4 linked regions of the Drosophila melanogaster genome follow. The protein of the gene in region 2 interacts with the protein of the main gene of each other region in a pairwise test. Each region holds a gene or a part of one and is shown on either strand. Other genes may lie near its edges. The genes, in order: CG6688, Cpr67Fa2, CG12857 and CG18563.

Region 1 (5,504 bases), on a different chromosome or scaffold from region 2:
TTAACGCGCTTAAATTAAACTGCCACTTCCTGTTTTGATGACATTTTCATGGCAGCCTCGCTCCGGCGAAGAAGCAGCGGGAGGCCATTCTGCAGCGATAGGAAGAATGCGGTTTGGAGTAACTGAAGCCTGTTGCTGGCGTTGCTCGCTCCTCCATTGATGCGGTTCGTCCGGCATCAATATTAAATGGTAAACGGCCGGCATAATGGCTGTCCAACTGCGGCTGTCATTATGGGGCCATCAGGAACCACCAGGACCAAGAAACCAGGGACTGGACAGGTTCCATGCCTGCTCCCGATGACAAATAAAGCTCATTACGCGCTTGTCCGGCATCCTTCACTTTGCCACTGATTGACCTGCATCTGCGCGTGGCGTCGCCGTCAGCAGTCATAAGTTGCACTGCACTGCGAGAAATGTTTGTACTTTGTGCCCTTGAGTATGCAGTGGGAAAAGGATTTTAGAATGAACAAGTACTCAAATAATGTTGCATATTCTATTGATCATTTGCACAAAGTCCAATTGACTTAAAATATTTTTATTCCTCTTGCGACGCTCCCTGAATGCAGTCCATCCGGACTTCATTATCGAGCTGACCAACTCGGACGCCAAATGACACAAAGTCATTGGAGCGTTCAGGAGTGATTCAATTAGAACTCAACTTGGCCAAGTTGAACTCTTCGCTGCAGTTAGCTGGACCAACTTCTTTGCATCTCCAGCGTGGGCCTTTGTCCCGGCCTGACACCCATACAATTCCTTTGGCCGGGTTCGTTTCTTTGCGCGATAAGCAACTTTGGCCAAGCAACTGGCATTTAATTTAATTAGAAAGGAAAACAGCAAGAGGGGCGGGGGGCGAATTGGGGACGCGCCTGATAAGAGGATGCTGTTGATTGAGATGCCCGAGCTCAAAGCAGACGGAAAGCGGATTTGTAGCAGCAGTTCTGGTGGAGGTCCTTTGCAGGATCCTGTGGATCCTGCAGCTTGCAGGGACAGCGGTACAACAGCGAGGCCGGCTTAGTTTGGACAACCTGCTGGGGCAAATCTTGGCTTGGAGTGACAGGAGGTATGCGAACGGGTTGCAATCCGGAAGATTCATTGATGCCCGGGCTAACGGAGGCTGGTAGCGGAGGGCCATGCAAGGATGTGGCAGAGATGTGGCTGCTGTTCGTTCCGGATTCCTCGTCAACGCCCTCGGCATTCGGCTTAACTCCTTCCTGCTGTAAATCATTCGTCGAGAGTGAAGGATGCGCCGCATTCGCGTCAAGCGTGGCATGCATTGTTGTCCTTTCGGGGGGCGTGGCTGTCACTGGCGATGTTCTGGCCGGGATTTCACTGGAGTCGCCAGCGACGTCCGTGGTATTAGTCCGCAGCAGAGTAGCGGCATTCGAGGGACTGAGGTTATCCGTCGAGTAGGCGCAGCCCTCAAGCAACTTGGTTAGGAACTTGTTCGTTGGCAGCACTGGCCTGCGCTTTCGCCAGGTGTCCTGTCCGGTTATCCTGTCCTGTCGGCCCACGACTGGCCGTGTTATCCCGGCAAAGAGCTTCTGCCGCAGCTTGTTCTCCGAGCGGCACATCTCGAAGGCGTTGGCAATGGTCAGGAAAATTTGCTCCGCCAACAGCGCTCGGCGGGGAGTGTAGAAGTCCCGGCAGACAGGACATCGCTCCGAGCGGATGCGACAGTCCACGCAGAGCAGGTGTCCGTTTTGGCACTGCATCGCCGGCGGTGAGATGGTCACCCCGCAGACAGGACACTCGACGAGGCGCAGGATGCTCTCCAGGACGAGGGACAGGCGGCGCAAACTGGTGGGCATGGGGGCGCAGCAGATGCTCTATGGATTTTTGAAAAAAATATTGTGTTAGCGCGATTTTAATGGGGAACGGATAACTGAGTGTGTTTGATGGTTTAAAGAAGGATTTCAGGACTGCAATGAAAATACTCACATTAGTATCACAGTCCTTATCACATTCACTGTTCCAACAGAGAATTGTGACGCAGTCCTTTTGACTCTTCACCATTTTGGCGATTTCAGACACTCTCAAGCCTAAAACATCGTTGCCATTTACCTGGAAATAAAATATTATAGAATTTTATAGAAAATGTCTGGAAATGTTGTTTATTTATTTTAGGAAATAAGTGCCATACAGAAAGCAAGTACCAAGTATCTAAATATTTGGATTTCCACGAGCTACCAAAGAAAACAAATGAATACCACAAAATATGGCCAACACAATTACAAATTCGAAAGCACTGCTTGCGGCTGTATCGCACGCACTGCTTGCGGATGTTAACCTTAGCTAGCACTGTTAACTCAATTGGCTGTTATCTGTTATCTGATAACTGATATTTGCTTTGAATATTTACTTCGTGCTAATTAATCTTTGTCATCAACTAGTTGTTTTACTACGTTCGAGTTGTGTCATTAGTTTTAGGGCGGGCTGTGCATTCACCAGCTGTTTCTAGTTCCCCACTCCACATCCAATAAAGTTTCTAAATAAAGTCGATGCCGAGCAATTAAGTTTTACTGCATTGCTATTTTAAGTAAACAATATCCACGAAGAACAACAAATGCGGCTACAATAGCGGCTGCAAAGTCCAGACTTGGATATATGTACGGTCCAACTTCCATAGCTCAAGCTATTCGTAATTTAAAAGACCATAGCGATTTGAATTTGTTTCTAGAAGTGCAAATCATCATATTGGAATGCTTTCCTGAATAGTACTTTTTATCTTAACTTACGATTCACACAAATTTGTAGAACTTATTGACTTGAAAACTCGCAAGTATACATAATTAGCTTTACAACAAAAACTACATTATTTTTCTAGCTGTTAGCTAACAAAAGGAACTTTTTTCTGATTATAAATATATTATAATTTTAATGGGTTCCTCAAACTCTGTTTTCTTCTATCCTAAGTGGAATGCACATAGTTGGGAACCTGAGTAGCAGTCTCAATAAGCTCTTAATAGGTTTACAAAGTAAATCCCCGCGTCGATCTATTGCATTCTTAATTTTGTAACTGGAGTTCAGGCGCAGATTGAGTTACCAATGCAGTTTAGTTACCAATGCAGTTGGTCTGCGCTGTGCATAATCCGCCAGTCCATTGCTGGCTGAGAGCTGAAAGAACTGACAACGGTGGCACCAACCTGTGGCACTAACTTCTACTCACCTCCAGAACGCAATCGCCGGGTTTCAGGCCGCAGAGAGCGGCAGGTGTGCCGGCTGCCACTTCGCAAACCTGTCGGTGTAATGGGTATATGGTAATTAGGAGGGGACGGGATCTCCAAACGATGGCCACTTTTATTACCCAGGGATAGGGATCCCATTTGCTGCGGGTCAGCTGAAATCCGTAGTTCTCCATCGCAGGTGCGGCTCTGGGAATTCTCAGTAGTCGCACGGAGGAGCCATCGCCATGCTGCCCATCTTCATTGGATGTGGAATGAAATCCTCCCGCTGATTTCCTCATTTTCGGGCTAGAAAACTCGCACAGGTGCTCGGATCGTTGTGGGCCAAAATAAAAAGCGGCTAGCGAGAGACGTGTTCAACGTGCGCTCTCAGTTGGCAAACTGTTTTTCGTCTGTCTGTTGATTTTTTTTCGAGCCAGCTGGCTGGCTGGTGTATGTGGCTGGCTGGCTGGCTGGCTGGCTGAAAAGTTGCCGAGCGGCGAGCAGTGAACATGGAGCGCTTTGGGCCGACGCAATCGGCTACGACAAACATTTTGGCCAAGCTCCCCAGCATCACACATTTAACCCCTTCCACAACTTAATGACTTTGGGCCATCTGACGCGGTGTTGTAAGTGCTCGGCGCCAAAATGTGGCTGCGGTTCAAGATCCGAGATTCGGAATTCGAGATCGGAGATCTGAGATCTGAGTTCCGAGATCCAAAGCTGACACCCAGCTGAGATCATGGAAATGAGACTTGTGGAGCTAAGTAAATATTTGAACTTTCGGGCTGGCAGCGGTTTTTGGGTGCGCTATAAAGTTGCATGTCTACGTATTGTGACACCTTCAAATATACCGAATAAATAAACAAATTCTTCAGCGATTAAGTCATTTGATAACCTGGTAAATTAGTTGGTTCGAATGTGCAGGCTGCTACAATTGTGCGGAAGTGAAATCGAGAACATGGCCAAATACAATAGTTTTCATAGAAACCTTCGGCTATTTCTCTTCGCTTTTCATGGAAACCTTCTGCTATTTCTCTTAAATTGAAAACAATAAAGCTGCGCTTATCACTTATACCATGTTTTGTTACTAGAGATTAAAACTATTAAGGTAAATATAGCAAAACAGCCCAAACAAATATAAATAGCCAAAATAAACTGAACAAGACCTGCAAATTAAGTGTTAAATTGTATATTTATACAGTTTGGTTACGGTTTTGGCACAAATCGTAATCAGATAAAATCGCTATTAGCAGTAATGCACACGAAACTTAATCAGTTTAATTCCCATTTGTTGACTTTAAAAGTTTTCCGACTTTGTAATTAAATTTGAAAATAAACAGCACTATTTTTCGGCTTAATTGCGTGTTGGCAGTGTCAAATGGCCAGTGCATTTGCGATTGAGTGGCCAGCAAGTAAACCAAAATATTATTATTCGAAATGCCAAAAGAAATTAAAACAACAACGACGAGTGTGTTGGCACCGCACTAGGGTGTCAAACGGCGATAAACATAAACAATGGGGCCCTAAATAAATAATTGGGTCTAAAACCGGCTCGTCGATTAACCCTAACAATGATAACTGATGGAAATTGGCAGCTGACAAATGGATTTGGTTTGGCATGGCCAAACCATCGACATCCATTTGACTTTCGCTTTTTTGTTGTTTTGTTATCGCCGGTTTAACTGCCATTGAGGCGGTAATTTGAGTTTGGCGCTGCTCTGGTCGTCTAAAACATTGGCCAAATAGCATTGAAATTGGTAATTTCATTTAAATTTGCGCCCAGCAAAACTGACCCTGGGCGGCATTGTGGTGCGTGGTGTGTGTGTGTGTAATTTGTTTTTGGCTTTTCAATTTGCCAGTTCAATTAGATTTGGCCAAATTTATGTGGCACGCAGAAGCGTTCGGCAGCCAAAAGCCGTCAGCAGTGTCAAAATTAGAGAATACTTACCCAGGCAATAACATCGAAATTCATGTTTCTCGGAAAGCCATCCACCTGAAAGGTAATTGACTTTTATTAATCGGCCAGCAATTAGGCCGGGCCCAAAGGCAAATGGCCAAATTCAAGTGCAATTCCGCCTCTTCACACTATTGGCTCTCGACTTGTTTGTGGCCAGTAGATGCGGTTTCCAAAAAACAAAATAAAACGATGAAAAGCTCGCTGAAGCCAAGTGCAAAGCTCTGCCCACAGGTGGCGCTCGCTTTAAGCCAAGTTAGTAGGTCTGCTGGTCAGCTGTGAAGAAGTCGAGCCTCAGTTTCTTCGCAACTCGCATTCGGTTAAGTGAGCATGCGCCGCAAGTTCCGCTGGAAAACGCGAAGTGCGAAGCGCCGGCGCCGAAATAA
Region 2 (2,993 bases):
GTAAGTCAAAAGGATATTTACTTCGACCTAAAACGAGTTGTGTTTAGAATTCTTTAAGATATTTTAAACATCTTAAAATATTTTAAACTCCTATGGACTCAATCCAAAAACGTCTATGATCAATTTGTAACTGACTGGGATCCACCTGCTTTTATAGCTGCTCGTCGCCTCCGCTATCCTGGCCTGCGCCTACGGTGCCGCCACCTACAACCAGGAAGCTGGTGCCTACATCACCAAGATCGGTTCCGACATCCAGCCCGAGGGCAACTACAACTACCAATACGAGACCAGCAACGGCATCGCCGCCCAGGAGTCCGGAATTGGAGGAAACCACGCCAACGGAGGCTTCTCGTGGTACTCGCCCGAGGGTGAGCTCGTCCAGATCTCGTACGTGGCCGACGAGAACGGTTACCAGCCCCAGGGAGCTCTCCTGCCCACTCCTCCTCCAATCCCAGCTGCCATCCTTAGGAGCTTGGAGTACATCCGCACCCATCCCCAATACGTCGAGCAGGAGTACCGCAGGCCCGCCCTCAGGAAGGTCTTTGGTTAAGCGGGAGCGGAAGTCTTATGTGATAACATTTTAAAAGAGCTTTATTACGATTTAAAAAATGTTTTAAAATAAAGAAGAAAAAAATTACATAAATCTATGTTTGTTTAAACTATTTCAAACATTTTGGATGAACTAGAATAATGGGTGCTTAATATATGAAATATGGTTTAAGATCCCACGAGGAAACGTAGCAAACATATTTCAATTGCACCTTTATTATTACCTATATTAATATTTCAATTTTCTCAAATTTTCTTGTTAAAACTATTTTTTTAAGGATATGCTTACTTTACCTTCCTATTTGTTTTATAGTGCGAATATACAGGCAATTCTATGTCAGATTTTAAGAACCAAATTAAATACCACAAACTTTCCATCCGTTGTCGAGCAGAAATTAACTATCAAGTCCTTGAAATTATAGGGGTACTTGCCCTATAAAACGATCTGTAGTACTTATTCCGACCAATACCATCTACTTGACACCACTTATTTAAATAAAATATGTTCCCTTATTGCGACACAGGTTGAACTGTTTATTTTTATGGCCTTTAAAATGAACAAATATATTTTAGATAACTAATCAAAAACAATTGCTTACTTAAAAAATAGAGTTTTACCAGTAGTATCATGGGTTTAGTTTATTAAACTGCCCTTTTAATCTGTTTAATTAATCTGCTCATTTCAAAATGATAACGAGTTGATTATCTCATCTTTAATATTTTGTACCATAATTTGGTGAAATAAATCGTATAATACTTTATAAGGATCGATTGTTGAATTTAATCAATTAAAAAATGTTAATTCTTAATTAAAACTTATTAGATACTATTAAAATATATGTGAATATGACTTTTTTAATATATGCATAATTTGATGTTAAATATAACTATCTTGCCAGATGAATACTTATGCAAAAGTTAAGAGCCAAATTTAAGTGCGTTTTTTGGCTCTTTACCTTTTTAAGCCGCTCCAGTTTGATCAATCTCAGTTTGGCCATTGTCATTCATATGAGTTTCCTGCCGTCTGCCGTAAAAGTTGTTTGGGTGGATCGGGTTTCGTATCGAGAATTCGTATAAAACATTGCTGCCCCGCCACAGAGTCATCATTCAGAGTCGTCTCTTAGTCGCAGACACACGAACTCCTCCAAATCAGCCAATATGTTCCGCTACGTAAGTATATCGCAAGGATAACTATAGCACAGCAGTGGAAAACGACAATTAGTGACACTAAAAATATCAAAATATTAACCAATATAATAAATAGTTTATACTAACGATAAGGATTAACACAAAAAATAAGTAAAATAGAAAACAGTTACCGGACTTAGATACCATGGATAGAATTGGCCTTTCAAGACATTGGAAATTTCATCAAAAACCAAATTGCAATAATAACATTGTCTTCTAGATGCTCGTCGCCTCCGCCGTCCTGGCCTGCGCCTACGGTGCCGCCACCTACAACCAGGAAGCTGGTGCCTACATCACCAAGATCGGCTCCGACATCCAGCCCGAGGGCAACTACAACTACCAGTACGAGACCAGCAACGGCATCGCCGCCCAGGAGTCCGGAATTGGTGGAAACCACGCCAACGGAGGCTTCTCGTGGTACTCGCCAGAGGGTGAGCTCGTCCAGATCTCGTACGTGGCCGACGAGAACGGCTACCAGCCACAGGGAGCTCTCCTGCCCACTCCTCCCCCAATCCCAGCTGCCATCCTTAGGAGCTTGGAGTACATCCGTACCCATCCCCAGTATGTCGAGCAGGAGTACCGCAGGCCCGCCCTCAAGAAGGTCTTTGGTTAATCGAAATCGGGACTAGAATGTGCCAACATACATATGAAAAGCTTTATTACGAATCGTAAAAATGTAAATGTAGAAATGAAATAAACGTCGAAGATGTAAAGAAAACAATCTTAAAAGTCAAATTTGCGTTGCTTAGGTTTACATGGACCAAGATCAGAATTCAAAAAATAACCGTGGGGAATATCAAAAAAATAAATCCCAACTCCTTAGCATCATAAATCCAAGGATATGATTGAAGGACATTTAACGATCATAATCAAGAAAAACCATCATCTATAACAACAATTTAACAATTTCTGTTTCATACCCTTTGTTTAAAACGGGTATTCAAATCGATAAAAATAACTTTTTACTAATGCAATTGTAAGTCAGTGTGAAAACAGCAGAGAAAACGCTATAGTCGAGCAAACAATTTTTAAAAAATAGTGGGCGTAACATTTTTTTGAAGTTTGTGAGCAAAGTCTGGAAACTGCATATTTAATTCGAATTTTGTAGGTTTCATATTTCCGGAGACCTCAAAGTTCAGACAGACGTACGGACACTTGGCAGATCGATCGCAGATCCTTCATCCTGTTACAAACTTTTCATCGAATCTAAAGTACCCACTTACTCTACGATTAACGAGTATAAAACTTGGTATTTG
Region 3 (3,951 bases), on a different chromosome or scaffold from region 2:
TCTTTGCCAAAGAGATTCTTCCACACCGTGGTCTTAACAAAGAGAAGCATTTGGGTTAGTTTTGTTTCTCGCTTGGAGCTGCGCTCCCTCACGAAATACAGGTCGATTATGCGGGTGCCTACATCTTGACCCAGATCGTGGAGTCTGAAAACGCCTTGGAATTAACGAATTAATCGCAAAAACTTAGAGAAACTCCCACCTTGTTTGCAATTCTGGGACTGTAAACACTCGGCTCTGCGAGTACTGGACGATTTCGCTGAAAAGCAGCGCCACAATGCTCTGGGAAACCTCCGTTTTGCCCTTGGATAGTGGTCTGTCTAGGATGTTGCTGCGCGGACGCATCGAGGATATTTTTAGGGCCTCCAGTTTTTCCATTTTCCTGATAAATGTATCAAATTATTTTCCAAAACAATGCAAAGTGTGCACGCCACCCTATCTGCCCGAAATGCCAAAGAGCGTTGCAGAAATGGTCACACTTAAAGTTGCGACAATAATACAATAAATATTAATTATATTTATTAAACCACTTGCTTTTTTTTTAAAATGTTGATGTACATTTTAAAAAATATATTATTAAAAATATGCTGATTTGTTTCATAAATATCAAATGAACGAAGTGTACAATGTATAACAGAAAAGTGTGCCAAGTTGTTATACTAGCACAAACTGAAGCCCGCAAATTTGAATTCTAGTCGTTACTATTCAAACTCAATAGTTAATCGGCAACAAAATCGTCCGATTTTATCTTCCTTGTGCTGCAACAGTCAATCTTTTTACTCGGGTCCTGAAATATCACCTGAGACCAGTGATCTTTGGAGCATTGTTGTAATTCCGAAAGGTAATCCTCGAAGTGTTTGAAACGAATTTCCCGGGTATTGGGACAACCGACGCCGTGATAATAGCTGCACAAGCTATCGCATATCCAGTTTCGCTGTCCGGAATCACTTGCGTATTCCTCACTCTGTGCGTCATTGCCCTCCAAGGCATCCTCGTACATGCGCGACGTTATTCTCGATATGGATTCGTCGATCTTGTACTCCACCTCCGGGTTGAAAATCAGCTTCATCACCAACGGGTGATCCTCCTCCCGTCGCGCATATAGTAGATACCACAATGGCATCAGGTTGAATCGAATACAGGACATTAAACGACGTACGTGCACTTTCCTCTTGTTCCAATCGTGACCCAGCCATCGAACAGCTATAAAGAAAACCTAAGAAAAACATATAAAATGCAATAATAACTATAAATATTATGTTGAACACCACCTCAATCTCGGTGTTCACACAGATTTGATCGGATTCGAGCAAAAAAATCAGATGGGAGGTCGGCAGATCGAGGAAATCCCTGGTGGCCACAAAGGTGAGCAGAAACTTGCGGATCCTAGTCAGCATCAAATTGCGAACTACATCCATGGCGGGATTGTCCTTCGACTCGACGTATAGGACACATGCCGTATCCTCGTTGTAGTATTCCTCATCATCGAAATATTTCCAACAATGCGCCGCCAGACCAGAGATCCTCAAATAAGTGGCGGCCACATAGACCTCCACAATGTGAGCCAGCTCCAGGACGGGCTCATCGCTCAGCATCCATTTGTAGGAGAGCATAAAGGCCTTCTGGGACACGATCTTCTCGGGCAGGGTGACCAGCAGCGGAATCATCTCCAGTTCACTAAAGAAGCGAGAGTACACCTGCAGCACGATGAAGTGGCAATTGAAGTACATATTGTTGATTTCTATCTGCACAGTGGTCTTCAGATGGGACTCGAACATGTAGCGCAGCACCGTGGCCAGCCGATCCTTGCAAGGCTGCTCCAGTTTCAGCCAGCCATCGGCATCCTCGAAATTATGACCGAACTCGAAGAGGGAGCGATTCAGAGACGTGGTCTCCTCGACACCATTCTTTGATATCTTACTGAACACTCTATGCATTTCGAGATCCTCCGCCTTCGATACGAATCTCGCAATGGAGTTTATTTCATCATTGGAGGATAACTTCTCGGCACTAAGCTTGGGACTGCAAGGAGAAGGAAAATATTTTAAGATTACTCCGACTGGTTTAAGATTAACTCACTTGGTAAATAAAACGCTGCAGGTGAGTTCCTGCCTCTCGCATTTCTGTCCGTTCTGCCTCATTAGCTCCTCCATTTCGAAATTTGGTTTTCTTGTTTTGGATTTTTGACTGCACGGCTACTGTGTTTTTAAGTGTTTTAAAAAAAAAACACACTCGTAGCTTTCACATTGTTTATTAAATTGTGTTTTATTGTTGGTATTCTTTTGTTCACATTTTCAAATACATTTATATGAATAAATATATCATTTATATTACTATTTTCTTTATCCTTTTCTGCAATGACACGTTTCTTTTCAATTTAATATGAGTATATGCGGCTATTTTAACTATTTTTTCTGATTTCGATGTGAAACAATAAGGGTAAGAAAATGATACAAATTGCAAAAGGTGATATTTTATTTTAGCTAAAGTAATAATTCCGCCTTTTGATCTAGTTTTATTGTGTGTTTGAGGACGATTGCAATAATAGTTAGCTATTTTTCCATTGTGTAAGCGTGTAAATTAGAGAGTAATATAAAACGTAATTGTAAATTATAGATACATATTTAACATTTTGTACTTCTTGTTGTTGAGTGTTTTGTTTCCGTTTCCGTTTCTGTTTGATCCGTTCACGGTTCATCTTGCCTTATATTTTCAAAAATTTGCATTCCATTGATGTCCGTTTTCAGATCTTGGCTTGTATTTTCTGAGGTTTGTATCAATGTGTTTGCTGAATTTTGCACATTTAATAACAATTGCCGTATTTAGTTAATTTTTACAATAATAATGTTGCTTTTTAATGTGTTTTTTTTTTGCACAACCTTTGCTTATTTTTAATAAATATGCATTTTGTTTTTTAGTTTTCGTGTGAATTTCTTTCTTTCATGGGTTTTCTCACCGACTTAGTACAACAATAATTATATAGTAAGAAATAAATTAATGTTTTTTTTTTTATTATTTTTATATATATATATAGCTGCATATATGAGTTTGTTGACTTTTTGAAAACACTTAAATTGTTTGTTTTTTGTTTTTGTTTTATTTTTACCCCTTTGCTCAAATGCCTCCTCTTTCGGCCATTTTATAAACGGCCCAAAGTTGTTGGCATTTCAATAAAAATTACAAATTGCTTCGCATTCTAGAATTATTTAGTTGCAAAAGATTTCCAATCGAGCAATGCTGCGCTCTTTGTTTGTCCATCGACTCTCTAATTCTAATTGGTTTCTCATTCTATTTCAACGTCTGAACAAAAGATTTTGGAAAACAAACGTTTTGAGTTTGGGGCAAAAGGAATATTTTGAATCTTCATGAGCCCTAAGAAGAGACAAAAACATCCTTTTTATAAGGCAACCGAATGGGTACATAGTTCTGAACTAAAGCACATTTAAGTAACAATTGCCGAGCATAGCGAACGCACAAAACTTGAGCATTGCCGCAGACTCTTTTGCTAGAGGAGTAAATCGAATACAATTTGTAATTCTTCTTCAGGTTCGGAGAAGAACGGCTCGACAGCCGTGTCGTCGTCGTCCACTAATTCTTCTGCCGAGTTGTTGCGTGTCTCGATTTTTTTTTTTTTATTCATTTGCGCATCAGGTTGCCGTTTGTTTGAACTTTTCGTGTGAGTTTTTGAGCGCGTGACATTGATTAACAAATTGGAATCGCGCAGAGAAAATCGCATTTAAATATATTTAGTTCTCGTTTCGCCTTTGCCTTCGCCTTGGCCTTTTAATACTGTTCTCCAATTTCGAATTGTAAACAAGCAAGTGTAAAATAGCAAAAAACCCTAAACAACTAAAACTAAAACAATCATTGTATAATATTTTGATTTTTCAAAAAAATGTGTGTTCAGTTACGAATAAAAACAAATAGCCCGTTTTTACAAAACTATAATTAAGC
Region 4 (3,565 bases), on a different chromosome or scaffold from region 2:
TATATATAAATTATACAAAATACTCATTGCAAAATATGTGAAAATAAACAAACTAGCAAATATGAGCTTAGATTGTTTTCTTAATGTTATTTTTTGGAATCTGCGTTATATATAAAATGAAACAAAAACTCTTCTTAAAAAGGTAAAAAAAAAAACAATCTTTCGATTCGTGTATCACTATGATTTTACCATCAAAGCCTTCGTACACTCCTGGTGCGCTTCGTTACTACGTGGACTGCCGTTCAAAGTGACGTCTTAATATATCTTATGTATATGTATAGTAGGTGTTCTTTTAGGCCACCAACTATTTTATTTAACAATAAGAGTATAAAATATATTAGTATTCTAATATTCTAGTGTTAGCCTACCCAATACCAATACCCAGAAACGACCTTATACATTTTTTTGTTTAGCTTATCAATATTAATTGACGTTCCAAAAATTGCTAAAGCCAAAGTTTAATAAGCCTATAAAAAAGGCATTGATAGCGTATTCAATTTCTGTTTGTTATTTATTATTTATATATTATTTAATTATTTACGCATTTGTTAGGGAAAAGTTATCTCTCTATTACTTTTAAAGTTCTTAATTTATAATTTGTAAATTTCTAGCTGATTTCCTTTAAGTAGAACCTTAAAGACCCAGTTGCAATGACTAAAATATGTTTTAAAGTTCTGTGTCAAGCTCTACAAACACCCACCATAGGCTTACCTTATCATTACACTAAAAAAAAAAAAGTTAAGCAAGTTAACAATAGTCATTTGCATGTTAACATAGGTTTCAGAAAACCACAAACGATTCCAACGCAAACAGCACTGTGACTCTTCCCCCATAATAGGGGAATTATTGGGGGATTATTGGGGATTACATTAATTTGGTAACTGTTTGAAAATATTTTTATAGAAAGTTTATTTAATTAGGTTTAGTTTTGACGATATTTGAGAGACATTCCAGGCAGCAGATACAAAGCAAACAAATATATCACGTTAAAGGAATAGCGTCGAAGTTTTATCCAGATATGGTTGCCTTGAAAGGGCGCAATCACATGGTCGTGGAGGCGTCCGAGTCCGAGGCGACAGCAGGAATCACCGAAGACACCGTTGCGATTTCGGTTGATCTCCTGGCGCAACTCTGTGATTTCGTTCGACATTTGTTGAGCACTCTCACGCAATTGTTCCAATTCTCCAGTGTGCCTTAAGTAGGAAAGTGAATAAGAATTAGATTAGCCTATAGCATATAAGCATATAATTATAGCATATAATTTAAACAAAACGATAAAAATATAACAAGAGAGAATGCTACAGTCGAGTTCCCCGAGTATCAGATACCCGTTACTCAGCTAATGTGAATGCGAATGCGAAAGTTCATCATTATTCTGGGAATAAAATGAGAAAAAATTTAGATTTCGGCGGCGAAATCTCGTTAGATTGGGCGTGGCAAAAAGCTTTTTTTTTGCAAATCGATAAAAATTTACAAGACTTATAAAATTATGAAAAAATTTCGAAAAATGTTTACAGAAATTCCTTTTCACATATTGTTTTTTTTTTTTTTTGTAACTGATAAGACTTAATATAATATAAAGTGTACTAAAGCATCGGAAAGCTTGCTCTATCTCTCAGTCAATTTAATCATCCCGAGCAAACATGGGATCGATCGTGGCCACAGCAGCTATTCTTTTATTCTGCGTCCTTTCGGGCGAAGCCTGTAGGTATTGTGTCCCTATGGAGAAGTGCTTAATACTAAGTCGAAAACTAAATAGTTGCCCATTTAATCACGTCTGTTGTGACATTATCATAAAGGTGTATATATTTTGATTAGAATCCCTGTACGCAGATTTGGAATTAATATTTCATAATTTGCAGAGTCCTTATATCCCTAGCGGACCGAATGAGGAATCCGATTCTGAGTCTGCAGTATGCTTATTATTTTAAATTGCAATTGAATCTGTTTAATATTAAATTTTCAACTTTTCAGTCATCTTCTACAGAAGAGGAAAACATACCAACCTTTATCTATTTTCCAACGAGACCAACAGTCTCAAGTGAGCCCCAAAACAATGTTTCTACGGAACCTGATGTACCCATTACTTATTGGCCACTTAAAGGATCGGGCGCCCCAACAAATGATGGTGCGCAAGCTGAGCAACCAAAGCCAACTGAACGGACACAGCCAGGAGGCAGGTGCAATACGACTGGTCTATATTCCTGGGTGGTAGCCCTATTTTACGAAGAAGTTTACTTGACCGGCGGCTCACTAATTAGTCCAAAAGTGATCCTAACGGCAGCCCACAACACAATGAACAAAATGAATGAAGATAGAATTGTGGTTAGGGCCGGCGAGTTTGTCATGAACACAACAAATGAACCCATTCAGTATGAGGAGCGCGTTGTTGAAAGGATTGTGAGACATGAAGGATTCATTTTTCAGTCGGGTATTAATAATGTGGCTCTTATTTTCGTAAAAACACCGTTCGTGCTAAACGATCGCATTGGAGTATTGACGTTGCCAAGCCGACAAGCGTCGTTCGAGGGACGTCGCTGTACGGTTGCCGGTTGGGACTTGGTGAGTTCCCATGATCAAAGCCGTATGAGAATTATAAAGAAATTAGAGTTAACCGTGTTGGACAGAACGACATGCGTGGCTCAGTTTAGAAATACAACTTTGGGCAGGAATTTTGATCTTCATCCGAGTCTGATTTGCGCCCGAAGTGAAATAAACCGGGATTTCTGCTTTGGCGGTGGAGGTTATGCATTGTTCTGCTCCCTCGGAGATGAGAATCCACACGTCTTCGAGCAGGCTGGGATCGTCGCCTGGGGCATGGGGTGTGGATTGGACCTCCCGGGAATCTACACCAATGTGGCAATGTTCAGAAGTTGGATTTATAATAGGATAGCATACTTTGGCTAACGCTTAAAGATTATTACATCAATTCTTCATTAAGATTGTGATTATGCATTATTGTATAAATATACAAAATAAATGAATTTTTAATCAAAATCAAATTTAAAAATTTTTTCATTAAAAAAGGTTTTTGAGACGATATTAGCAAAGATTTTTAAATCGATGTCCATAATATTCAGCTGAATATATAGCGTTGCATTTATATAGCTTTAAATATTTACAAAAAAATAGGAAAAATAGTACAAATCGACAGTGGCTAGGAAAATCCCAAATTGGAAAAAAAATAGGCATTTCACTCGGCGATAATCCATGCATCCTAAGGTCAGTGTTATGTATATAAATGTGTACATATTTCAGATGATAATTCTTTTGTACGCATATTTGTAGTTCTTTCCTCTTTATGTTTTTTTTTTATATATGCGTACATAAAAAAAAAATTTTTTTTATATTGAAACTTTATTACGTGTTATACAGGTCACGTTACTCGAAAAGGTAAAGGGTAGATACATAACTCGATTAGTTAAAAGGTATGTAACAGCTAGAATTAAGCGTATCAAATCCTGTGAGATATATATGTATAGTCCTGGGAATGATCGTTACCAGTTTAATTAATCTGAACATTTTTTTTGAAAACTTTAATGGATATTTCCAAAGAATTCGGAAA

The links.
Region 1: the proteins of Cpr67Fa2 (region 2) and CG6688 interact in a two-hybrid assay, tested with the Drosophila melanogaster proteins (one large-scale study listed by BioGRID).
Region 3: the proteins of Cpr67Fa2 (region 2) and CG12857 interact in a two-hybrid assay, tested with the Drosophila melanogaster proteins (one large-scale study listed by BioGRID).
Region 4: the proteins of Cpr67Fa2 (region 2) and CG18563 interact in a two-hybrid assay, tested with the Drosophila melanogaster proteins (one large-scale study listed by BioGRID).

The regions. Positions count from the first base shown.
Region 1 is NT_033777.3:23,010,473-23,015,976, reverse strand, and holds CG6688 (uncharacterized protein), read right to left. Parts: upstream 3,566-5,504; 5' UTR 3,464-3,565; coding exon 3,305-3,463; intron 3,236-3,304; coding exon 3,167-3,235; intron 2,062-3,166; coding exon 1,939-2,061; intron 1,827-1,938; coding exon 903-1,826; 3' UTR 502-902; downstream 1-501.
Region 2 is NT_037436.4:10,890,061-10,893,053, forward strand, and holds Cpr67Fa2 (cuticular protein 67Fa2), read left to right. Parts: upstream 1-1,653; 5' UTR 1,654-1,707; coding exon 1,708-1,719; intron 1,720-1,957; coding exon 1,958-2,350; 3' UTR 2,351-2,456; downstream 2,457-2,993. Other genes in the region: Cpr67Fa1 (cuticular protein 67Fa1), read left to right, coding at 158-550.
Region 3 is NT_033778.4:14,757,407-14,761,357, forward strand, and holds CG12857 (uncharacterized protein), read right to left. Parts: upstream 2,197-3,951; 5' UTR 2,151-2,196; coding exon 2,077-2,150; intron 2,020-2,076; coding exon 1,269-2,019; intron 1,214-1,268; coding exon 716-1,213; 3' UTR 501-715; downstream 1-500. Other genes in the region: Trs31 (TRAPP subunit 31), read right to left, coding at 1-144, 200-375.
Region 4 is NT_033779.5:17,456,104-17,459,668, reverse strand, and holds CG18563 (uncharacterized protein), read left to right. Parts: upstream 1-1,624; 5' UTR 1,625-1,643; coding exon 1,644-1,799; intron 1,800-1,862; coding exon 1,863-1,913; intron 1,914-1,974; coding exon 1,975-2,907; 3' UTR 2,908-2,999; downstream 3,000-3,565. Other genes in the region: CG5050 (uncharacterized protein), read right to left, coding at 923-1,193.